Linked DNA regions of Drosophila melanogaster. The protein of the gene in region 2 purifies or fractionates together with the protein of the main gene of each other region. This does not show direct contact. Each region holds a gene or a part of one and is shown on either strand. Other genes may lie near its edges.

Region 1 (7,809 bases), on a different chromosome or scaffold from region 2:
AAGCTTGATAAAGTGCTGCTCTTTTCCCAGGTCTGCAGAGATGCGCGGAATCTCCACATCGATTCGGGTCTCCGGAAGCGGTTCAGGCTCATCCTCCTTGGGCGCCGATTCTACTTGGCTCTCGACTTTATCCCGGGATCGCGATCTGGAGCGGGAACGCGAGTGGCTCATAGAACGACTGTGGGAGTGGGACTTGCTTTGACTGCGGCTCTTGGAGCGCACTGGGGATTTTCTGGCAGCTGGTCCAGCCTCATCCTCATCGTCACTTATATCATCGGCATCTCCAAATATGTCAGCTGCAGCCGGAGCTTTCTTTCCCTGCATAATTGAAATGTACATATATCAGGGTAATTTTTCCTTAATTATAGAACTAGATAAATAACAATATAGTTGAGTAGTTCAGAGTGGTGTGCCTTACCACATCCTGATTGGAATCGCTATCAGTGTCGATCAGCCGTGACTTCTTAGCTTTGGTGGGCGATTCCTCAATGTCGCTATCGCTGCCGCTCTTTTTCTTCTCTTGATCGGAGCCACTCGCCTTGCGTGCCTTCTTCTTGGGCACACCCACATCGCTGCCGGAGCCGGATGCGCTGCCACTACGACTTCTATTGGGCGACGGCGTGCCCGTCTTGGAACGCGATCTGGAAGTGCGACTGCCACTCCTGCTCCTACTTCTGCTGCGACTGCCGCTCTTGGAATTGGCACGCTCTACGTCAATTTGCAGATTGGGCGAATTAGACCGCGATTCCTCGTTGCCCTTGAGTGAACCGCTATGAGACCTCGATCGAGACTCAGAGCGGTCACTTTGTGCCGAACCAGATTTGCGACTCCGAGCGGATCCCGATCTGCGACTGTGGGCCGAACCGGATCTGCGGCTGTGAGTAGATCCCGATTTGCGACTTTGGGGAGAACCAGATCTACGACTCTGAGGCGATCCTGACTTGCGACTTTGCAACGAACCTGATCTGTGACTTTGTGGAGATTCCGGAGTTCCAGATTTACGGCTACGCGCAGATCCCGACCTGCGACTGTGAGCAGATCTTGATCTCTTACTACGAGCGGAGCCAGACAGCTGCGAGTGGCGGCTTTCTGCAGACCCGGACCTGGCACTACGCGGAGACCCAGAGCCGGACCGGGATCGGGAAGACCTGGAGCCCGATCGGGAACGATCGCTGCCACTACCCGACCTGCGACTGCGTTGGGATCTGGAAAACGAGGGGAAGGTAATCAGCACTCTCCCGCCGCCGTGTTTGAATATCAAATAGTTACCCGGGCGCACTACCTCCTTGCGGCGTGACACTGCGGCTTCCACTTCGACTCGAACCGGATGAACCTACATACATATGTGAACAGTGTAAATATTAGTTACTCAGGCCTGGACTTAGCCATTAGCCACTCACCACTGTCGTCGTCCGAGTTTTGGCTGCCCATAATGCCAAGTAAATTTTGTTTAAAATCGGAAAATCTGCAATCAAGACAATTCGCGGCCGGGCAATAAAGTTGAGTTTAGGAGGTCTAGGCACTGTCACAGTAATCGATAACTGAAATACGCAAAGAGGTCTTCGCATAGACGCCCCAGATGGCAGCCCAATAACTGTTTTTGTCTATCGATTAAAAGTAAACAACTATTTTACCAATCGCAAAGGCGAATAAAATTGTTGTCTTTAAAGAAAACAATTCGAATATTCTTTGAAATATACAGTAATCAATGCACCAAACCCTCTCGTTGCAAACTAACTACTATCGATACCAACGCTGTCTCGATAGCAGATTTTTACATCCCTAATTCTTGTGTGTTTGTATTCGTGACAGCCACAAAGTTTTTTGCGGAACATTTTTTGTGTACAATTTAAAGCCATTTCGGGCGCTAAAGAATTGTTTACTGCCCCTCGATAGTGGATCGTAAGGACCCGGCTCCATTAAGTTCGAGTGCATTTGCGGGTCGGCGGCGTAAAAGACGCGCAAATCTAGCAGGGAATTTGCCCAATTCGCTGCTTCGGGTGAAATTTCAATGAACTGAGAAAACAAAGACAGACACACACACAAACACACGCACAGGGTCACAGACACAGTGCTTGTGCAGCAGTGTAGTAAGAAGCAGAGACAACAGCGCAATAGCGAGCGATTATTTACTTACAAATAAAATACAAAACGGAAACATTAACAAAAAGCGAGAGCCCTGGCCAATCCAATCGGCCGAGTGTAACGTGCGCGACATTTGCATAAGCGTGAATATAGAAACTACAGTGGTCGCAAGAGCGGCGCAGAAAAAACGGACAACTTTTAGCCTCCGCCAGGCATCAACATCCTTCGACTCTCCTCTCCTCTCTCTCTCTCTCTCGCTCGCTGTCTCTTCGGCACGAAGACCACGCTGCATACAGACGAGGCACATATACATATGCACACACGCACAGCGGTATATATGCCATTTATTTAGGGACGACTCGGCGCGGAAAAGTACTAACTAACCTCGTTCCCGCTCCTACACCCGCTACGGTTCCAGCTCCCGTTTCTCCGTTGCATCCTTTCAGCTTCCAGCGAGTGAGTGCTAGTGACCGAGACACCCACAGCTAACCAACAGCTGCCCAGTGGGAGTTAGCGGACTTTCATATTCCTGCTGATTCGCCGATCCGTGATCCGTCACAGTTACGGTTACGGCGCCAGGACAACGACTCCTACGTCCTCGTCCCGCCGGCCGCTTTGGAATGTTAAATGCGGTGAGAACGATTCGATCAGTGTATGTTGTTGTTGCTGGACAGAGTGGAAAGCGAGCGTTAACAGTGGAAGAACAAGAAGCGACAGTATCGTCTAACGTTAATTTAGGTAAGTTGCGCGCATTCCTCCTTTCGGATCCGTCGTTCTTATTTTGTACTTGCTGAATCGCCCGAGGTTAAATGGTTGGTTAAACACTTGTCCCCAGAGTTAACGCTAGCCATTGAATTTTGTTGTAAGCGCGGTCGCCAGTGTTGGGAAGCGTCTGTTAGGTCAGCTGATAAAGTTACATGCGTGCAGGTAAAACATCAATTTAATCGACAGCTCCCGTATTCCAGGAAGATTTGCTCCTTTCAAATTAAATGCACTGGCATCCTGTGCTAGTATATCTTGCATTCCAGGCGAGTTCAGCGCACGTTGAAGTTTCGATAAGATAAAGCCGGTCTTTACCATAGGAAGGGTTATTTACATATTATGGTACTAGCAAGCAGCATCAAAACCTAACTGGAGCTTTCGTAGTGAAGTAAACGAAATTCGACTAACTCGGTAGTGGTTTGGCCAGTAGTGGAGATAAGGTATAAAGCTTTGTATTTTACAATGTTAACTGTTTTTACTGTACACCTTTTGCACTGCACTGACCACTGCCTGCATAATTGATCGAGGGACAAGTTGAGGCTTATATCCTTTTGCATTGCCCCGCTCTCCACCCACTCCCTTGCACCCTGGTGGCAGTCATTCTGGTTTTCTCACCCACACCATCGCCATTGTCTTGGTCTCCATCTTATCCACACGGTCTGTGCATGAGTGTGCCCACGACAAAGAGGAACGGCAATAATTGCCACAGCCTTTCTGCCCATGCTTCTCGTTCTCCACCTCCTTGCTCTGCCTCTCAATTTGCTCTCCTTTTCTCCTTCTGCTCTGTTTGCTGTCCGAATTCGCTTCGCCAATCGACAGCTGATGCGTCGGCCATTTAACGGATTCACTTGGCGCGGGCTATTTTGTTTATAGATATACTATAGATGGTGGCCCTTTTTTGGGATCCCATTTTGCCGTTAAGATAACCTTTTCATATATATGGCTCCAGGCTGCTAACCCACAAGGTTGTTGGTTTGTTTGCTCAATACGCATATACTCGCATTTAGTGTGCGACAATTATCTGCGGGGAGCCAATTTGTTATCAATATAGTCCCCCTCCACTGAATCACACAGTTTTTATTGTAAACCCTTGTTTATGGGCGAAGAGTTTCCCTGATTCAGACATTTGACAGCAGTTCTCTGATTGCTGCGCAGATGGCTTCGAGAATTTATGTTGCGAATCATCCAGCATATTCCCAATTGCTCGTATTAACCGTAATGTTATATAACGCGTAATAATCTCCAAAATAAATATATATTAGTTTGTTTTTGCCAAAAGGAAATCCCTATACTATTACATTTAAGTGATTACTGCTTAAGTGATACTTCGATGTCGACGCGGATACGATATGGGTTTTTCTTTATGGGTAGATAAGCAAAGCAAGGCCACAGCCTAATAACCGACAACCCCTTCCATTGCAGATTATGGCGAATTTAAATTTTCAACAACCCCCGAGAAGTATAGCGAACGCGGCGTTAGCTGGCCGGACAACAGGCGGATTCGGTGGTAGCTCCCTGGCTGGCCATGTGACGCCCACGTCGGGCATGTTTCAAACCGGTAAGCACTTGTCGCCCAAAGCTTTTGACGGAGCACCAATTCACATTTGTTGCCTTAGACTTCGCCAACTCCTATCCAGGAACGGCGAACTACGGACAGGCGCCGCAGCAGCAGCAACAACAGCAGCAGCAGCCCCAACTGTCGCCGAACCGGAATGCCCAGCTGTCGGTCGGCGGACCCGCCATCTCGAGCGGCAACCGCAACGCCAACCTCTTCGGCCAGCGTCAGTTTGTGGAGCGGCGAGCCATGCAAGGATTGGGCAGTGGCCCCATGGTAAGCAGCGCGGCATTACAACAAAGTCTAACTCCTCCAACTCGGTCTTGTCCAAGATACTCAAAGTAAAACATATAACAATATCTATATCCATTGACTGTGGGTTTAGTACTTCAATACTTCGGATTGCATCAGAGAATCGTATCGCTGATCGATCAGATTTATATAAAGGAAATATTTTTGATACAACGGAATATACATTAATTTCAGAAGTTACAAATGCTTTCACATTACATAAAAAATATACCCTCTATTAAGATTGAGTTGGAGATGTCAGTCCTAATTCTAAAAATAAATTGTTAAGACTTGGCTAATCATTATCTCTTTCCGCAGTCGAACATGGGCAACTTCATGCAGACGGGTCGCGGCGGCTACGGAACGGGCGGAGGCGGTGGCGGTCCTTTGAATAACTTCCACGTGTTCGGCGGCGGCGGTGGTAGCGACACCTCCACGCCTGCCCTGCTCGATCCCACGGAGTTCCCCTCGCTGACGAATGCGCGCGGCCAGAACGACCAGACACTGCCCCAATCGAATCCGCTCCAGCCGCCGGGCAGCAAACCCTATGGTAATTTCTTTACCTCTTGTGAGTTCAAATCAAAATCCACTTCTTTTTATTTATTTTTGTTTTTAAAACTACGATTAAGAATCGGTTGTAAGCGTGGTGTCTCGTGATCAGCTCATTAAGCCCACTTAGATATGCTACGCTGTATTTGGGACTAACCTCGGGTGTTGGTTTGGGTATGGCAAACGCTGCAAAAACTAGATTCAGTCAAGGACATTTACTTTGGCTACGTTGGTCCAACCGAATACGGGCTTCTGATTCCATGAAGAGCTTTTGCAATTTAGAGTTTGAAATGAAATTGTGTTTCCGGATTATACTCCAAACATATTATTATATGCAATCTCATTTACTTTGAAACATGATCAATGAATAAAAAGAAACTGTTCACATAAAGCAAGCGACTTAACCTTTTATAAGTTCATATATAGGTGAAGGATAACTTTAAATTCACAGTAACATGTCTTAAAACCTTGAACAAATGCTGTTTGGACCTACTCATTGATTTTAATTGGTTGAGGAAAAAGAAATTAACTAAAATCGTGTGTATTGTATGAGCTTAAACTGCTTTAGTACTAATTTCTTCGCTTCACTCATTCGCCCTGGGCGACCATCTCGCTCCTCTTCTGATTTCAGTTGGCATGGTGAAGCAACCGACGTCAGAGCAATCGGAGTTCACGATGTCTAACGAGGACTTCCCTGCGTTACCGGGCACCCAAAACTCGGACGGCACAACGAACGCGGTGGGGAGCGTCGCCGGAACAGGAGGCTCCGGAGGTGCGTCCACAGAGAACCACTTGGACGGCACGGAAAAGCCGATGAATTCGATAGTGGTCAGCGGATCAGCGAGCGGCAGCAGCGGTTCCAACGTCGGCGTTGTAGGCGGCAATGGTCTCGGTGCCGTTGGCAGTGGTATAGGGGGCTTGGCAGTAGGCGGCGGCGGAGGAGCTGGTAGCTCAGGAGGCGGAGGAGTCGGCGGCAATGCAGCCAGCGGCGTTGTCGGCGGGTCCCATGTAGGACTGGTGGGCAGTAACAGCGGCATTGGCGGCGTCAACAGCGTACCCAACAGCAATGCCATGATGGGCGTAGGCGGCGGCCTGGGGAGTGGAAGCGGCTCGTCTGGGAGCGGAGCGGGCGGCGAGCATCTGAACGATAATTCCAGCAACGATAAACTTGTAAAGAGCGGCGTGCAAACTTCGCCAGATGGTGAGTGCTGGAACACTTCTCACAACATGTGAGAGAGCTATTTTTGACCTTTTGATCATTTGGAGCTTTGAATTGAACACTCTATGGATGATTGATACCATTTAATCAATGGATTTCTTGGTTTCTATTATTATTTGTTTCATATTATAATTCGGTGATTTCGGTGTACATCACAAAAGCCCAACAGCTATACTATCCTTGACCCATTTTATCCAGAAATAATAGTACCATGAAATATTTTATTTATTTAAAAATGTAACAAATTTACCTTTCGTTCGTTTTGCATAAATAGGGAAGGTCACAAACATACCAGCGACCATGGTGAACAACCAGTTCGGCATGGTTGGCCTGCTGACGTTCATTCGGGCTGCAGAAACGGATCCCAATCTGGTGACGCTCTCCTTGGGTACGGATCTCACGGGTTTAGGCCTGAACCTGAACTCGCAGGAGAGCTTGCATACAACCTTCGCTGGCCCCTTCGTAGCACAGCCCTGCAGGTCAGTTTACATAATAAACTTACATAATTTAATTGCTTATTGAGTACTATTGAGTAAGAGGTGTACCAAATTAGTAACATTGGATTTGCATTTACTTTTTTCAGAGCACAAGACGTTGAGTTCAACGTGCCACCCGAATATCTGATTAACTTTGCGATAAGAGACAAACTAACAGCGCCGGTACTGAAAAAGCTGCAAGAAGACCTGCTCTTTTTCCTTTTTTACACGAACATCGGCGATATGATGCAATTGATGGCAGCTGCTGAATTGTGAGTACTTCCTCTTGCGTAGCTATTATCTAAGCTTCGTATGAACATATATAGAACATACATATATACTAAAATTCTGCTCCCATCGCAGGCATAGTCGCGAGTGGCGATACCACGTGGAGGAGAAAATATGGATAACTCGAATTCCTGGCATTGATCAATATGAAAAAAATGGTACAAAAGAGCGCGGCACCTTCTACTACTTTGATGCGCAAAGTTGGAAACGTTTGTCCAAGGTTTTCCAAATAGATCCCGAGAAATTAGATAAATGTCCCAATATAAGTGCGTTTATGAATGGACAGTCTGTATAAAATTAATAAAAATGAAAAAAATTGAAAAAGAAAGTATGCTGTTGTTTTTGCATTGCAACAAGGACACTCAACACTAACTGAATAATAAGTTTTATTATAAAAATTAAAAACAATCCATTTGAGTTTTTCTTCTAAAACGGTGTTAGGATATATATACATACATATATGCATATGTATGTATGTGCAAATTCTGGTACAAATTGCCGGTTAACAATTTAAAGCGATTTATTTTTATCCTGCTGGAGTCTAGTTGGTATTCATATTTTTAGAATATCTTTGAAATGTAACA
Region 2 (4,930 bases):
GGAGAAGCTGAAATTGCACGTAGAATTTCGTTAGATAGGATTAAGAGGCATCTGTGATAGATTATGCACTCATTGCCTATGAATGCCACTTACTTAGCATGTTTCCAAAATTAAATGCTCCGTTCGGGCCGCTGAGGTTGAGGCCGGCTAAGTTGTTGGACATATTCGTTAGCGGATCCATTCCTGGTCCAAACATCTGCGCGTTGAGGTTTCCGGAGAACGGTTGCTGCGGTGGCGGAGGGACTATGCCTCCAGGCAGATCCATACCACGATGGCCGCGCAGAATTGTTGGTGGAGGCGGCGGAACCAATCCTGGCTGCTGCTGCTGTTGGGCACGCGCCTTGTTAGCCATAATCGCCACGTTCGCGGTCATTTGCATGATGACTTCGACCATCTCCGGCTGCATGCAGTTATTGATGCACGTTTGCAGACAGTTGATCATGGTGGTAACTGTCTCGGGCAAAAGCTGCGCCTGCTTGGGAGGCAGCTGATCCTCTGGCACTTTTGCGTTGATAACCTGCGGGCAGCGGCGGTGCAGAACCTTGATTATAGCCTGCATAAAAGGCTCTCCATGTTCGCGAATTTTATCGGTAAGCCACTTTTCCAGCTTCAGGTACTCGCGCCGAGAGGCAAGGCAAGCCAGGTCGATAATGAATAAAAATGAACGGGCGTTGAGCAGCGCTGATAGCGCTTTTAAATCCTGGGCAAGATCCAGGATGCGCGACAGTTTCACCTGATCGAACTCATTGCCTCGGAGATACCACTCGGACATAGCATTCATGATATTGGAACGAAGTTGGAAGTTGTTCGAGCTCCAGGCGCTGGCCAAGATCACGTTCGAGTTGGGATGGTTGCCAAGGAACGTTGGTATCAGTTGGTTAAACAGATCCTGACGCAGTGGCGTCATAGGCGGACTTGTGTTCAATAAGGCCAAAAATAGCACATCGGGACAGTTCTGCGCTGGGAACTTGAATAGCTCATGGACCTGCGTATAGTATCCCTTGTCCGCAATGGAGAGCAGCACCTCCACCAGGTGAAGCGACTTCCAGGACGAGATCTCCTTATTGTCCGCATCCGGAGCCGTCTTAAGCACATCCAACGCTGGCTGGCTAAATACAAAGTCGGCGAAGGAAAAGAGATCCGGGTTCTTCAGCATTGTCGCGATAAGCGACAGCTGACCTTCCGTGTTTGCCCAGTGACGGTAAATGCATTCTGGATGTGGAAATATGTTAGAGCCAGTGGCCAGCCGAAGGATGGTGAGCAAAAGCTCCAAACCGATGCGATCCTTCAGCACGAACTCGGGATGATCAAGTTCTAAAAATTAAGAATGATATTCCTATAGATTGGCGATTGCGAAGCAATTATCTAGCTATTACCCATGCACACGTCCTTCCAGTTGAGCTGAGGCACCACCTCCTTGAGCGCCTGCACAAAGACATCTGGCTTCCAAGTTTGCGTGGCCTCCGTCGTCTCCTTCTTGTCCTTCTTATCACTGGACGAATTGCCATCGCTGCCATCGTTGTTGTTACTGCTGCCCGGGTTCTGTTGCTGCGGAGTGATTTGTGTCTGCGAAGAGCCACTGCTGTTGCTGCCACCGCCCTGTCCCTGACCAGGCCAGAAGTTCGCCGGCGTCGGTAGATTCACATTACAATCGAGCAGGGAGGAGTGCCGTCGGCACATAAGACCCACGATCTTGGCGACATCTTTGGACTGGAGCTCAGCGCGTTCTCGCTCGCGGGAACACAAATGATTCTTACACTCTTCAACGCTCGATGTAAATTCATAACCGATTTCAAGGATTAGATTAATCCAAGATGTGTCCATAATATTATTTTTGCCCTGCAACACAACATTCAATTAGCGAATTGTCTTTTTCAATGAGTGTCTTACGCACCTGGTTGGTGAATATTATCTCGCTTAAATGGTCATAAATATCCTCGATTCCCACCTCGTTCAAAGCATCTGCTTCGAAACTGGAGCTGTTGCTATTAGTCGTCGCTTCGGCCTCCGCATCCGTTTCGCTGGCACCTGCTCCCGCAATCGTCGCCGTCGTCGAGCCGTAAAGGAACGGCGCTAGAACCAGCGGTACCGCCTGGCGCGGAAACTCCTCACGAAGCTTGATCAAAAACTGTGCTTCCACCTGCGGTTGTACGTACTCGCTAAGGCAGCACAACAAATACTGCAGTAGATCGAAGGAGATCTCCCGGAGACCGCTGTCGGCTGGGCCGGTGCCTTTATTACCCAAGTAAGAGTCTATAAGTTCGCTGAGGCTACCTTTTAGGTTGTTCCTGGCAGAATGTTTGAGTTCTGTGTACGAGGAGTGGGTCAAGGCCAAGGCAAAGACGCACTCACAAACCTTGTTGATGCCGGTCAGTCGGGCGACCTGGCCAACGAGATCCGCTACCGCAACAGGCTTCAGGGACTGCTTAGGAATGAGTATCCATAAGTAATCAACACATTGTGGGCATTGTAAACTCAACTTACCTTCTGGTTGCTGGCGAAGAACTGGTCAAAAGCGTAGCAGATGTTGGACACAAACGATGAACTGTGAAGCTGACGCTCCAACTGGATGCCCAGGAGCTTCGCCTGCAGCTGGACCGTAACTGATGGCACGAGATCGCTGAAGTTGATCACGGAGAACAGGTGGCGCAGGCTGCTGCGATCCGCTTCCAGGCCGTGCTCTTTAACGAACTGCAAGATGTCGTAAATGCTATCAGTAATGTATGGTTTAGAATCAAAGAGCTGCATTGCGTAGGGTTTGGAAGCCAATATAAGTGCCTTGACAGCGACTGCCCGCAATCTGGGACACATATCACTGTATAAGGGACAGTGTATGTTTCAAACGATTCCTCAGATTCTGCGGTGACCGGGATTTTTTTTTATGTGATTTTCATCGCAAACTTGGAAATTTTGACAGGTTCTATTATGTTCTGTGAGTGTCTCAACTTTTCTCTGTACAATTGGATATGTGTTTACGGATACAGGGCAAGATGTAAAGTAACATTTTGGAGGGATTATTTCTAACTCCAGGCAACTGTTTTCAAAAGTAAATCCATTAAGTCATTATTTCTTGCCCGCTTAAAAACTTTACCCAATTGGCTTTTTAAAAGCGCAACCAGAGGGTTAAAACATGAATTTTATCATTGGGAATTCCAGTTTAGGTGCACCATTGTTGGGCTCACAGGTTTCTGAGATTATCTTGAATGCTATAACTAAATGGAAGACTATATCTCAAATTGGGCTATCGTTAAGTTAGTTAATGTATTTTCTATCCGATAATTTCTCCATGGAATCCAACAAATTCCTAGACCTTTCTTACTATAAATTCCGTTGGGTTATCCTAGTACTTCATTCCAACATTGAATATCAGTGAAAATTTGGTAATCCTACTGAGTTCGAATAACTTGAAAACTTATCAGGCTTTTTAAATGGCAGATATAGATTGTTGAGAATTTCAAAATACTGAAGTATATGACTCTGTTTTGTTATCATTTTTTTTTATCATTTTTTTTAATTTTTGAGGAATATGCCATTTACTGTCAAGAAAACGGGATCTGTAGCATAGTTTGTCCCACAAACGATTACTTTTTAGGGGATTGTTGGGCAAATGGTGCCATTCTAAGCCAAGTATTTGTTATGATACTAATTTGAATGGCAAAACTTTTCTAGGAGGCTAGATATCCCCCTCCCTCCCTACGGATCCAAAACTGTTGAAATATTTGATCCGGAGCTCGGAGTCCGGAATCAAGGCCTCACTCCGAACGGGGGAGCGAGACAACAGCTTTGGCCCCGCCGTCGCAGCTGCTCCACAACAAATTACACACGCGCCCTCTCGCTCGCACACGTTGGCGAAACGTTACATGGGTAAGGAGAGAAGAGAGCATGACGGTGCGCGAAAGGAAGGGGGTCACAGGAAAAAGTGCGACATATTGCAACTCTAGCGAAAAGAAAGCGGCCGCAATTGATATTCCCACGCAATTTGTCCCACGAACTTACTATTCAATTTGGTTTCTCTCGTTTGGCAATGAAAAAACAGAAGTTTCGGGGCCGAAAAGCCCTGCGCTTGGCTTGGGCTTCCCAATTCGAATTTCGCAATTCGATTTCGCACTACTACGCTGCAAAATTCACACTGCCATCAACTCACGAAACACGTTTGTGGCTAAGCGCACACAATTGGCCTGGTTTTACACATTCTATAAAACTTTTAGCTTAAACAAAACGCTCACAAAACGCGCAACGCCGTGCAGAGAAATTTTTTCAGCTGCCTTTACCAAAAAACTGTAATGGCGTCGGCAAAAATGCACGAGCGAGTGAAATGGCAATAGCCCATTCGTGAGTGCGAACAATTGGCAACTCTGGTTGGCCAGGTGCGATATGTTGTCGGTTTGGCAACACTAAACCCCCGCCCCCTACAAAATGTTGTTGTTATTGTTGACAAAATGAATTGGAAATGGTTCATGGAAACTTTGGTAGAATAACTTGGGCACCTACCTGATTTATTTGCTCGCTGCTCTCATTAAAATTTCGCTTGTTCACGTGCTTGACCAGATTTCGAATGTGCGTTGGCGGTGTCTTCAGTTGGCTCTCTACGTTCATAATTCTACGTATCAGTTGTCAATTCCTCAGCGGATGTTTCTTGTTGCTGTTGTTTTTGTTGGAGGCCACCAGAATTTTTTGTTCAGCACACACGTTTAGCGTGCACTGGTATTGGAGATTAGAGATATTTGACGTATTCGCTGTTGCTTCTTGGCGCTTTTCATTTCACCTACGGCGCAATTTGTTTTTGTCTCTGCCTTCCTTGGTTTTTTTTTGTTCTTTTTTGGGTCTGTAGATTCATTGGCCGCGGCCCCCGTATAAAAGGGGCCATCAGCAGCTCTACATTGCAGGCGGCATCTATTTACGCGTAAATCAAATAAACATTAAACTCGGT
Region 3 (5,369 bases), on a different chromosome or scaffold from region 2:
TAGAAAGAACGGAGAGCTCTGGGGAAGATCAATTCGGTTCGGTTGCTGGCCAGAGACTGAAAAACGATCGCGTGAACGAAGAATTCCTGATCAGTGATCACACGACCACCTCAATTAGCTGAACAACTGGCGAAGTTGAAAGTATTGGTTCGGGTCGCCTAAAACGTGATCAAATTGCTCGACCGAAGGCACGAGATACAATGTGCACTTTAATTGAATTTCGCTTTGTTTACAAACTATTCTTTTCAATTTAGAGCCAATAATTATGGCGAAATTGTTTGTTTGTTATGTCATTTGCAAACGCCACAATGGCAAATATTGCCAATCGCTTGTGGAAAGAATGGCGAGTTTAGAATTGCTATTAGTTCCACAAAGCAATGATAATGCGATTTATACAATCGACAGTCAACAATTTAACAGCGTTTAGTGAACTATTAGGTAGCATTGTGAAATAAGTAATGAATATAATGTATCTTAAAATAATCAGACCGATTAGAGCGACTAGAATGATTTTCTAAAAACGCCTATAAAGGGGAGGTTTAAATGGAACGTTCTTGTTGGATCGGTTTGTAAATATTTAAATATAAAATAGAAACTAAATAAATTTGACATTTTTGCAACACAATCTAGAAAGTTTCCTTCCTTGTAGGTAAACTATTGAATTCCAGAGGTCAGATAAGAAGAAAAGCCCTTATCAGTACGGAAACGTGTAGTTCAAGTGGTTTTATCAGCATTTTGTAACCGGATTGAGCATAAAAATGCGAAACGTGCGAAAAGTTTATTAACCCTTTGAAGAAACTGGAGAAATCCGTTCTTTGAGGGTCCACGAAACCAAAATAATTGGAGAGATCAGTCGTTATGTACCGATGTACGTACATGTATGTATGTATGTATAAACATAATTGCCGATTGTTGACAGACGGCGAGCTTTATTTATCTTATTTGCTTTCTTTTTTTAATTTGGCATGTGTGAAAAAACTAGTTTTGCACTGTATTGGTATAAACGTAAACAAACTGAGAAAACAGTTGATTCAATTGTTTGTTTATTTATAACGCGAGCCAATTCCTCAAGAATTTGCAACAACAAATGGGTCAAGTTAAAAGGAAAGTGGGACAGACGTAAAAAGAAAAACCACAAATCCAGTAACATTTCTTACTTGATTATTATGATCTATATTTTTGTATCAACTTTTAACACTTAACATTAAAGTTAAAAAATCACAAAGCTACCACTTCTACCGGTGAAATTGAAATAAATATATTTGTTTGACTGTCAGCGAACAGCTGAAAGTCTAGTGTTGCCATCGCTCACCAACTTTCATAGTTTCCCTGGCGCCCTCTAGGCGGCTGCTATAGCGAGTCAAAGGCAGGGCTTGGCAGCACTTAAGTGGCTGAGTGCCTAATATTTAAATACAACAAAACCCATTTTTTTTTGTTAATTTAGATTTCTAATTACTATGCTTATGAACAGAAACTAAAAATTCAAAAGATGGGCACCACTAAAGTCGCCAAACTATCGATATTTGTAGCAATTACACGTTTTCCAGCACTTGAATCGAAGAGCGAACGTTTACCCTCACTGCCGCAATCGCGAACAATTTTTTATTATGGCACTTGCGCGGCTCACAAACGATATTCGCTGATAAACATTCATTGGAAATTATTGCCGAACGCAGAGGACTCCGCCAATTGAAGTGTGCGCTTAAAACGATCGCCGTGCAGGAAGCGGAAGTGCCCCATAACAGCTATTTTCTCGCCGCTTTCTCCCCCATCACCCCCCCGCAAAACAAGCGACGCCGATAGAAACATTTAATTTGTGCAAATAGCCGAAACCTACACGGTCGGCCATCAAATATTATGAAATGGGTAAGCTGCGAGGGTAACCACGAGTGGGTCCATTTCCACAGCCTTGCGTTTCCACGGCGCAAATCGAAAACGAACTGCAATTGCAAATGCATCTTCAATGCCGCTGCAAGTGTGTGTGTGTGTGTGTGTGCGGTGTGATGTGAGCGTGTGTGCGAGTGTGTGCAGTTTTCTTAGGGCGTTTTAACTGTTATTTATTTTCGGTTTCTTCATTTTCCGCAAATAGTCACTTTTTCGTGTTTGTCTGATTTCCCCCCCCCCCCCCCCCAGCCTGCACTATGAATCCGATTTCGAAATGGATTGAAATTCACACCCTCAAATCTTCAGTGTCACTTGCAAATGCTCAAAAACGTATGGAAATTTCTGACTTGCTATGATGTGACTTAAAATCATATTTTTATGTTAAACGCCCTTATATTCATAATTGGTAAAGCATACCAAATCTTAATTAATACAACATATAAAGGGTAGAGCAGCGATTGAGAACTTTTCTGCATATTTCAAAACCTTAAATATAACCTGTGTACAATGAGGGAAATGTTTCTCACACTGTAGTTAGAAATTAAGTCATGTTAATGCTGTCTAATTGCAGCATCAGCTTTAAATAACTTGCCCAGTGTTATCTGAAGGTGTGTTAATGCATGCGATACATCATAGGTGCAATAGGTATAATCCTGTAAAGGCAGATTGAATTATTATTCCGATACCCCTGCATTCGATCAGGAGCATTGATCCCCCGAATCAGAGCTTAAGACCACACATCCAGGTGGAACTTGTTGCTTGAGGCTTGGTTGTAGGTCAGTGCGAAGAGGTGGCTGATCCGGCGGCGAAGGGTGCGCACCAGGCGACGTCCGGCGACGATGTAAGTAGCGGCCATCGTAAACCCAATCACTCCAGTAACCACCTCCAAGCAAATTTCCAAAAAATCGTTACCTTCACTTGCCTTGTTTCGATATGATTTTATTTTATGTTGTTTCCTCGTATCAGCAGCAAAATTCGTGCACTTCTAACATCGATATTGGCCAATCTTCAATTGTGAACCTCCTGTTTAGTTGCGCTATCGTGCTTAACCAATTGGACCAGCTATTTTATTATGTTGCTAACTCTTACCTCCACATAAATACACAAAAACACAAGACACTGGGATTAGTCCTTATCTATGGAAATATTCGATATCGGTAACCTTACACTGATGTTTAAACAAATTCGAAAACTGAGCACCATAAACAACAATTAGTAAACCATCATTATAAACAAAGGTTTCATAATGTTTGTAAAACGTTCTTCAGTTTGTTTGTGCCTTATAAATCTGCATTGTGGAGCATTTACTATGCTTCATAAAATGATAGGACTTGATCAACTAATCATAGCATTGATGGCGAAAACTAATATTTCACATCTTAAATTAGGACTAAACAAACACAAACATATACACACTTATACACTGAAATATGTATACATTACAAGTAGTTTGACCCACAACCAATACTTTTCCCAGACAATGCCCTCGGCCATCAGTGGCGCGCCACATGCCCACATACCCAGCAACGAGGAGTGCGGCATCCGCGATGTGTGGAAGCAAAACCTGGAGGAGGAGTTCCGCACCATACGGAAAGTGGTGCAGAAGTACCACTATGTGGCCATGGACACCGAGTTTCCAGGCGTGGTAGCACGTCCAGTCGGCGAGTTCCGCTCCACGGCGGACTATCATTACCAGCTGCTGCGCTGTAATGTCGATCTGCTGCGGATTATCCAATTGGGCCTTACCTTCATGGACGACGATGGAAAGACACCACCCGGCTACTCCACCTGGCAGTTCAACTTCAAGTTTAACCTGAGGTAAAAGTGTTTTGTTTATGCTCTAATGGGGGGTCCTATATTATCGTTTGTTTCCCTAGCGAGGACATGTATGCGCAGGACTCGATCGATCTGCTGCAGAACTCCGGAATTCAGTTCAAGAAGCACGAGGAGGATGGCATCGATCCCATCGACTTCGCCGAACTGCTGATGAGCTCTGGCATCGTGCTGGTGGAAAACATCAAGTGGCTGTGCTTCCACTCCGGCTACGATTTTGGCTACCTTCTAAAGCTGCTCACCGATCAGAACCTGCCCCCGGACGAATCTGAATTTTTCGATCTGCTGCACATCTACTTTCCCAACATCTTCGACATCAAGTATCTGATGAAGTCGTGCAAGAACCTGAAAGGCGGCCTGCAGGAGGTTGCCGATCAGCTGGAACTGCGGCGCGTGGGCCCCCAGCATCAGGCCGGCTCGGATGCTCTGCTGACGGGCATGGCCTTCTTCAAAATGCGTGAGGTACAGCACACAAATGATTTCCACATTACACCGGTGGCGCACGATGTACTCTTTCGCTATCTGCTTGAGCACACCATGAACTTAAAGCCGACGATCAGCTGCATCCATCTGCTGAGCCGTCCGGCATACAATGGGGGCCCTGCCCCCGACGAATCTGCGATAATCAGCAGTGGCAACGGCACAGGCAACACCAACTCCACCGAGCAGTTCACCTCGAGCGCCTACATGGTTACACCTCCTAATACGCCCGGCATGGCCAAGAGCGATGCCGCATCGCTGTCCAATCGCCATACGTCTATTTCGAATAGCTTCGGATGATTAGACAGCTCGCTCGCTGGTGTTGCCGTGCACTTGCCACTGCTAACGTAACGTGCCTCCGCCCATCATAATCATTATTCCTTAGGTTTAAGGTTTTTCATGGTTGTCATAACGCATTTTCATACATAACTCATCTATGTACTTAGTTTTTTGTGACCTGCACAATTTACAGAGCCAGTGACCCAGAATTTATGAATGAAATCCATAATTTGAAGTGTTCTTAGTAGTTAGTTTGGAGCTGTTAAACCCATGTGAAACATGTTTATTTAGCTGTAATGCCCGCGATACGAATTGAAATGAGAAACGCGCTGGATTCGAATGGAAAATTAAATGAATTGGAATTAATTTTCTTTAAATGTTTATTTGCATTCTTTGGTGTTTGGGCATGGCATATGCATATCATAGCTTGCTTGATTTCATATGACATCTTTTTAATTGTATTGATGTTCATTTTAATTTATGTTAAGTTCACGCTCTTCATTTATATCGAATTAACAAATTATTCTTTTGTAATTTTAAGCGCTTTGCTGACATATGTTTCCACACGGTTTACTGTGTGTATCAGCGTACCAAGACCTTTATCTTCTAGAGAACTGCCGAATAGTTTTGAAATAACAAGAACATTGCAGAATAAATCCCATCCCATACTAACATTCATTAAATATGAAATTTACTAATATTGAAACCTCGTCCAATCACATCGGTTCTGCGGTATGTAACAAATCCTATCTACAAGTAGGACCCACCCATCTACTTGGGATTACTTTCTAAGACTTTGCTGCCGTAGAAATATGTGTGCTTTATACGCTTTGTAGCTCCCAACTAAAGTTGCTCGCATTGATACATCCCATAATTACCATACTTACCCAGAA

What was found. Proteins that work in one complex are often made in the same cells at the same time.
Region 1: the proteins of Not1 (region 2) and Rga purify together in Drosophila melanogaster (affinity purification with western blotting; 4 studies listed by BioGRID, with this or other methods). This does not show direct contact.
Region 3: the proteins of Not1 (region 2) and Pop2 purify together in Drosophila melanogaster (affinity purification with western blotting; 4 studies listed by BioGRID, with this or other methods). This does not show direct contact.

Annotation. Positions count from the first base shown.
Region 1 is NT_033777.3:5,607,084-5,614,892, reverse strand, and holds Rga (regena), read left to right. Parts: upstream 1-1,780; 5' UTR 1,781-2,823; intron 2,824-4,269; 5' UTR 4,270-4,272; coding exon 4,273-4,405; intron 4,406-4,463; coding exon 4,464-4,678; intron 4,679-5,011; coding exon 5,012-5,261; exon of another isoform or gene 5,262-5,873; coding exon 5,874-6,443; exon of another isoform or gene 6,444-6,640; intron 6,641-6,711; exon of another isoform or gene 6,712-6,735; coding exon 6,736-6,940; intron 6,941-7,006; exon of another isoform or gene 7,007-7,044; coding exon 7,045-7,209; intron 7,210-7,300; coding exon 7,301-7,520; 3' UTR 7,521-7,618; downstream 7,619-7,809. Other genes in the region: Atu (another transcription unit), read right to left, coding at 1-318, 419-1,205, 1,270-1,333, 1,401-1,431. UniProt on the Drosophila melanogaster protein: Component of the CCR4-NOT complex which is one of the major cellular mRNA deadenylases and is linked to various cellular processes including bulk mRNA degradation, miRNA-mediated repression, translational repression during translational initiation and general transcription regulation.
Region 2 is NT_033778.4:9,573,694-9,578,623, forward strand, and holds the start of Not1 (Not1), read right to left. Parts: upstream 3,003-4,930; 5' UTR 2,812-3,002; coding exon 2,485-2,811; intron 2,426-2,484; coding exon 1,895-2,425; intron 1,840-1,894; coding exon 1,377-1,839; intron 1,315-1,376; coding exon 94-1,314; intron 8-93; coding exon 1-7.
Region 3 is NT_037436.4:11,999,083-12,004,451, reverse strand, and holds Pop2 (Pop2), read left to right. Parts: upstream 1-1,536; 5' UTR 1,537-1,857; coding exon 1,858-1,866; intron 1,867-2,520; exon of another isoform or gene 2,521-2,725; intron 2,726-3,250; exon of another isoform or gene 3,251-3,361; coding exon 3,362-3,702; intron 3,703-3,761; coding exon 3,762-4,497; 3' UTR 4,498-4,840; downstream 4,841-5,369.